2 linked regions of the Danio rerio genome follow. The protein of the gene in region 1 interacts with the protein of each later gene in a pairwise test. Links are inferred from orthologs where the notes say so. Each region holds a gene or a part of one and is shown on either strand. Other genes may lie near its edges.

The links.
Region 2: the proteins of jakmip2 (region 1) and zgc:103755 interact in binary tests that used the Homo sapiens proteins (3 or more experiments, as listed by UniProt). The two-hybrid records come from large-scale screens. The link is inferred for Danio rerio from reciprocal best matches to the Homo sapiens genes JAKMIP2 and CLIP4.

What each region holds. Positions count from the first base shown.
Region 1 is NC_133196.1:46,819,105-46,823,416, reverse strand, and holds the start of jakmip2 (janus kinase and microtubule-interacting protein 2), read left to right. Parts: upstream 1-1,195; 5' UTR 1,196-1,337; intron 1,338-4,312.
Region 2 is NC_133192.1:53,008,734-53,012,574, forward strand, and holds part of zgc:103755 (uncharacterized protein LOC449988), read left to right. Parts: intron 1-766; coding exon 767-906; intron 907-3,568; coding exon 3,569-3,662; intron 3,663-3,841.

The sequences.
Region 1 (4,312 bases):
GCTGTTTCATCCACATTCCTGCTATTCACATTTTTGTACTTTTTGTCTTCTGTGTTTAGCGTATGTTGTTTTGCACACTTAACAATAAAATAACAATAATTTTGTCCACCACTACCACTATCTATCCATCCATCCATCCATGCATCCATCCATCCATCCATCCATCCATCCATCCATCCATCCATCCATCCATCCATCCATCCATCTATCTATCATCTATCTATCTATCTATCTATCTATCTATCTATCTATCTATCTATCTATCTATCTATCTATCTATCTATCTATCTATCTCTATCTATCATCTATCTATCATCTATCTATCATCTATCTATCTATCTATCTATCTATCTATCTATCTATCTATCTATCTATCTATCTATCTATCTATCAATCTTTCCATCCATCCATCCATCCATCCATCCATCCATCCATCCATCCATCCATCCATCCATCCATCCATCTATCTATCTATCTATCTATCTATCTATCTATCTATCTATCTATCTATCTATCTATCTATCTATCTATCTATCTATCTATCTATCTATCTATCTGTCTGTCTGTCTGTCTGTCTGTCTGTCTGTCTGTCTGTCTGTCTGTCTGTCTGTCTGTCTGTCTGTCTGTCTGTCTATCTATCTATCTATCTATCTATCTATCTATCTATCATTCCATCCATCCATCCATCCATCCATCCATCTATCTATCTATCTATCAATCCATCAATCAATCTTTCCATCCATCCATCCATCCATCCATCCATCCATCCATCCATCCATCCATCCATCCATCCATCCATCCATCCATCCATCTATCCATCACTCTATCTATCTATCTATCTATCTATCTATCTATCTATCTATCTATCTATACATCAATCAATCTATCTATCTATCTATCTATCTATCTATCTATCTATCTATCTATCTATCTATCTATCTATCTATCTATCTATCTATCTATCTATCTATCTATCTATCTATCTATCTATCTATCTATCTATCTATCTATCTATCTATCTATCTATCTATCTATCTATCTATCTATCTATCTATCATCTCCCTCTCTGCTGAAAGACTGCAGTGAGTGACCTGTGAATGTGATGAGGTCATTATGACAGTGGTAGTAGGCGGGGACACGCAGCATCCGGAGGCGGAGCCACGCAGCATCACTCTGACAGCGGCAGGAGGGCGGTGTTACGCAGCATCATCTGAGCTGCTCGTCGTTTTATTGTACGGCTGCTGATGCTGAGAGGTCGAGCTGAGAAATATATATAAACCATGGTCGCGGATTTAAGCTTTGCAGACCGCGTTGCATCGTGGCGGACTGTTTTCTAGGTAAGCAGAGCTTTATTCTTGGCGTCTTTGAGTCGCGGGTGTTTTAATTGGACGAGCGCTCCGTCGCTGAGATGGATGGAGAAATACTGATTATAGCAGATGCAGATGGCTGGAAAACACACGGAATTAGGCCACGCTATGAAAGTATGAATTGGTTGTGTTTTATGATGGTGTTTGCTCGTGTGATGTGCTGTGTTTGTGTGGATGTGTGTAAGACAGTGAATGGGCGAGCTCGGCCTGCGTGTGATTCAGCCTCTCTGCAGGCCTGAGGAGACACTAATGCGGTGCTTTACACACACTATACACACACTTATACACACACTGTACATGTCTGCATTTATTCTGCTCAATAGCGTACAGATTTCACCACAGGAGGATCATTTGACAGGCCTGAGGCGAACTGTCACATGAACGCGACGACGGTGTCAAAACACAAATGTGACTCAATATAAAAAAAGATATTGTTAATAATTGTCTTAAAGGGGTTAGTTCACTCGAAAATGGAAATTCTGTAATCATTTAGCCTACTCAAGCTCCACTTATGTCCCGGACATGTTTGAGTTTCCATTGAACACGGTTATTTTGAAAATTGTAACCGTTGACTTACTACTTGCTTTTCCCATTGATGGACGTCAACGGTTACAGGTTTTCTAACGTATTTCAAATAATTTTTGTGTTCAACAATAAGGGAATGGGATATAATTTTTGTTGAACTACCTCTTTGACGAAAAAGTTTGCCCGAAAATGAAAATTTGTTCATCGTTTAGGCTATTCAAGCTCCACTTGTAAAGGGTTGACTTTGATCAAAACCCAACGTCATGGCAATGTCCAACCTAAAAGCATCAAAATATCAACTTCTAATGAAGTTACAGCTTTACGTTATGTGGATGTTACCACTATGACGTCTATCAATCGTTGGATTTTGGTTGCCATGCCCAAAGAATAAATGTCAGTATTTGATGTCAATATGACGTCGGTTTAAGATGTTAGCTCGACGTTTGATTTTGGTCACTTCTGAACACAACCTAAATCAACCAAATATTCGCGTCATTTGACTTCATTATTGGACATCAAAGTAATGTTGTCCTTAGACGCTGACTAGAAATTTTGGGTACCTGATGTCACAACCTAAATCTAACTTAATATTAAGGTCTTATAGCATGGCATTGTGTGCCTGCTGGGTAGTAAGTAAATTAAATTTTTTGAGCGAACTATCCCTTAAATAAAAGTTTACCCTAAAATGAAAATTCTGTCGTCATTTAGGCCATTCAAGCTCCACTTGTTCACAGACATGTTTGAGTTTATGTTTTTCTATTAAACACAGTTATTTAGAAAATAGCTGGAAACCATTGACACTCATAGCACTTGCTTTTCTCATTCTGGAAGTTAATGGTTACAGGTTTTCTAATGTATTTTAAAAAATTCATTTCATGTGCAACAAAAAAGGAATGTAATGTAATTTTTGGGTGAACTACCTCTTTGACTAAATAGTTTGCCCGAAAGTGAAAATGTGTTCATTGTTTAGGCTATTCAGGCTCAAATTGTACACAGTTTGAGTTTATAATCTTCTGTTCAACACGGTTATTTTGAAAATAGCTGTAATCCATTGACTCCCATAGTACTTTATCCGTAGTTCACACAAAAATGAAAATACTGTCATCATCTACTCATCCTTTTCTTGTTTCAAACCTTTATGAGTTTCTGTCTTCTGTTGAACAGAAAAGAAGATATTTAGTAAAATGTTTGAAACCTGTAACCATTGAGTTCCATAAAATTTCAATGTCAATGAACACAGATTTTCAACATTCTTCAAAATATCTTCTTTTGTGTTCAACAGAAGAAAGAAACTCAAAGATTTTGAACCACTTGAGGGTGAAAATAAAAAAAATGAAATAAATAAAAACTAAATAAAATGATATATATATATATATATATATATATATATATATATATATATATATATATATATATATATATAATAAATAAATAAATATATATAAGTAATAAAGTAAAAAATAAAGTAAATAAATATATAAATAAATAAAAATGAAAAAAGAAATATATATATATTAAATGAATAAAAACGAGATAAATTATATATATATATATATATATATATATATATATATATATATATATATATATTAAAGTAAATAAATATATAAAATAAATATAAAATAAATAATTAAATATGAAATAAATAAATAAAATATTTATATATTAAATAAAAAATAATTCATAAATAAAATAAATATTTAAAAATTATGTTTTTTCAAAAGTATATATGTAGCGTATAATATTAGCTGTTACTTTTTATTTATTTATTTATACATAATTGAAACAAAAAAATAGATATTCACTTGAATTTATTTCGGGCAACCAAAAACTCCAAAAACCCTGCATGAACGGATTACCTGGGAGAGAGAGTCCTGTTGCATGTTTTGCGGATGCAGAATGCACCCTTAGAATTGTTTGTGTGTGTGTGTGTGTGTATGTGTGTGTTTATTACACCATTGCCCAGCTTTTTTTCTTTTTTCATTACATGGGTTGAACTGACCTATGTATAGTAGTCACCCTGAGTGATTATGTGTGTGTTGTCTGGAGTTTGGTGTCAGTGGATGAATGTAAAAGTGGGTCATGATGCCACTGTGTTTGTACGTTTGCCTCATGCGGGCAGGAAATGGGCCAGAACAGCTGAAGGGAAAACCAACTGTATCATCATCCCATTACCATGCTCCGCTCTGCTCGTCCTCTCTAATCAGATGGATATTTTACTATATAAAATGAGCACAATTTATAATTTCAGAGTTCAGCCAGGTTACCACATCAGTCAAATGCTTTATAATGCAGTTACTTTCATTATGTGTTTTCCCTTCCCTGCAAGCTATTTACTTAAGTCAAAATTATTCACCCTCCTGTGAATTAGTTTTTTTTTTTAAATATTTCCCAAATTATGTTGAACAGAGCAAGGAATC
Region 2 (3,841 bases), on another chromosome or scaffold:
CTGGTAGCATCTTTTAGCTTTAAATTCCCTGTAAAATTAAAATAACCCGTTTTAGATGTATCAGGATGCTAGTCTTAACTGTCAGTTCAAGTTTAGCCATGAAACCTCCAACACTACATTGACCAGTGTTTCAGTTTTATTGTCCAACCCCTGTAGGTCAAACATTATGTGTCAAACCTACCTATTTTGACCACGATTGACTCTAATTTAAGCTGTGATTGGCCCAGTTAAGCTTTTTTTAAACTCTGAGATAGATTTGAACTGAAAAGGGGGCTTTCAAGACCCTTTAAGTGGGTCGCGGCAAAAATGCTGACATTCCTTTTATTTATCTCAGATTTTAACCTGCAGCTGTTTTATTTATTTATTTACTTATTTACAGTTTTCTCGCTTACTGGCTAATAAACAGCTTACTTAGCAGATTCTGATGTGTAGCTTTATTTATGGAAAACATTTCAGACTGTAAATCATGGACCCTGTTTAAACTGCTGTAAAAGTGAAGTATTGACAAGGTCATAGAGATTCTTTTCCAATTTTCTGCCTGTCAGCCCTGATACATCATTCTCTCTCTGTACTCGCTTCTCATTCACTCTCACACTTCTTTTTAATTTACATCAAACTGAGCTGATTAACTGCATTTGAGCGATCAGGGTTCTGGCCCGGCATGGGTGAATCTAAATTAATAGGTTTTTAAAATAATCATTTATACTGTTATAATAATTTAAAACTGTTCTTTTTTTTCTTTTTTCTTTTTTTTTTTTTTTGCCAGAGTTCTCTTTCTTTGACCCGAATGATCCTCTGTGTCAGGAGGTTCTGCAGGATCCCCAGACCACCGTTCCAGAGCTCTTTGCCGTCCTCAGGCAGTGGGTTCCCCAAGTCCAGCGGAATATTAGTATCATTGGTAATGAGGTCAGAACTATTTTTAAGTCTTGTGATTTTAAAGGAGAAACAAAACATGAAAAAGTCATTTAAATGTAATATTATATGTGCTTATAACATCTGTAGTCAACTAAAACTAAACCACACAAAAAAGTAGCTTGATTAAAAACAAGCATTGAAATGTTGAAAATGAAAATACTCCCACTGGCCACTTTATTAGGTACACCTGTCCAACTGCTCGTTATTGCAAATTTCTAATCAGCCAACATGGCAGCAATTCAATGTATTTAGGCATGTAGACATGGTCAAGACGATCTGCTGCAATTCAAAGCAAGCATCAGAATGGGGAAGAAAGGTGATTTAAGTGACTTTGAACGTGTCGTTATTTCTGGTGCCAGACGGGCTGGTGTGAAAATTTCAGAAACTGCTGATCTACTGGGATTTTCACACACAACCATCTCTAGGGTTTACAGAGAATGTTTAAAATATATATATATAAAATATGCAATGAGTGGCAGTTCTGTGGATGCAAATTCCTTGTTGATGCCGAAGGTCAGAGGAGAATGGCCAACAGTAACTCAAATAACCACTCGTTACAACTGTATGCAGAAGAGCTTCTCTGAATGCACAACACGTCCAACCTTGAGGCGGATAGGCCACAGCAGCAGAAGATTGGAAAAATGTTGCCTGGTCTGATGAGTCTCCATTTCTGCTGAGACATTCAGATGGTAGGGTCAGAATTTGGAATCAACAACATGAAAGCATGGATCCATCTTGCCTTGTATCAATGGTTCAGGCTGGTGGTGGTGTGGAGGATATTTTCTTGGCAAATGATGAGTATTGTTGCTGACCATGTCCGTCCCTTTATGACCACAGGGACTATCTTCTGATGGTTATTTCCAACAGGATAAAACGCCATGTCATAAAGCTCAAATCTTCTTAGACTGGTTTCTTAAATATGACAATGTGTTCACTGTACTCAAATGCCAATAGAGCACCTTTTTGAATGTGGTAGGAGATTGGCATCATGGATGTGCAGCCAGCAAATCAGCAGCAACTACATGATGCTATCATGTCAATTTGGAGCAAAATCTTTGAGGAATATTTCCAGTACCTTGTTGAATCTATGCCACGGAGAATTAAGGCAGTTCTGAAGGCAAAAGGGGGTCCAAGCGGGTAGTATCTAATAGAGTGAGTGCATATATATGTGTATATAATAAAACTAATTCCAATAATTCCATTATTTTACTCACCTTAAGATTATTATTTTTTTACATTGTAAACTTATTAGTAAAATATTATGTACTGTCATCATGGCAAAGACAAAAAAAAAAAAAAAGATTAATTGATTTAGATTTGTTATTATTAAGCATTTGTACTTCATATTTTCATTTGTACTTTTCCAGGAGGATAAACTGTGAATATTTTTAAAACGTATGATGGGTTTTTGTGACATCTAGTGGATAAAAAGAGAAAAACACATAAATACGAAAACTTGCTTTTAACCATGGTAGGTCTTTTACTCCAGTATACTCTAATAAGTGTTAATATGTAACCATTTTGGATAAAATAAAAACATATATTATGTTTATATTAACTATGTGTTTGGCTATAGCCTTTTTGTTGCTTAAATGAATCTTTTAACACTATAAGTAAATAAATAATTGGTTCAGTAATTTTTTCAGGGAAGAAGATTTTAGAGTCAAAGAAAGTACATGCAAATTGATTTGATTTGAATTTATTTAATGAGAGATTGTCAAACAGATACAGTAGAAGTCAGAATTATTACCTCTTTTGTGAATTGTTATTTTTACTTATTTTATTATTATTATTATTATTTTCATATTTCCCAAATGATGTTTAACAGAGCAAGGAAATTTCCACAGTATGTCTGATAATATTTTTTGTTCTGGAGAAAGTCTTGTTTGTTTTATTTTCACTAGAATAAAAGCAGTTTTTAGGTTTTTTTAAAGCTATTTTAAGGTCCAAACTATTAGTCCCCTTAAGTAATACACACACACACACACACACACACACACACACACACACACACACACACACACACATATATATATATATATATATATATATATATATATATATATATATATATATATATATATATATATATATATATATATATATTTATAGTCTACAGAACAAACCATTATTATACAATGACTTTCCTTGTTACACTAATTTGCCAAATTAACCAGGTTAAGTCTTTAAATGTAATTTTTATCTGAATACTAGTACCTTAAATAAAAATATAATTAAATATTATTTACTTTCGTCATGGCAAAGATAAAATAAATCCGTTATTAGAGATTAATTATTAAAACTAATATGTTCAGAAATGTGTTGAAAAAAATCTTCTCTCCGTTAAACAGAAATTGGGGAAAAATTATACAGGTGGTCTAATAATTCTGACTTTCACTGTATATATTTGTGTGAAAAACACATTGACTGTTGAATTATACTTAAAAAAGCCAAGTAAACAGGGTCAATTTTAATTTCATGTTTTCTCACAGCTCTCATAAAACATACCCACACACTCCCCCACACTGCGTTTAGTGTCGGGCTTTGTGTACTGAAATATTACTTCTGCAGACTGTGTGTTTCTCTCTTTCAGCATGAAATCTTTTGCTGAATGTTCTTTAACTATTGAAGTGATATTTGCTTTGTTCTATAGATTCTAAAGCGAGGATGTGGTGTCAATGACAGAGATGGTCTTACGGACATGACGTTGCTTCACTATTGCTGCAAGGCTGGAGCGCCTGGCATAGGTGAGCATGTATTTATATGTAAATAAAACAAATCAATACAAATCTATTCAATTAACACCTTTTCTTAAACACTGCCAACAAAAAGTCTTAGAGTTTTTGTCTTGTTTTTAGTCCAAATATTCATTCATTAATTCATTCATTAATTCATTAATTCATTCATTCAGTCAGTCAGTCAGTCA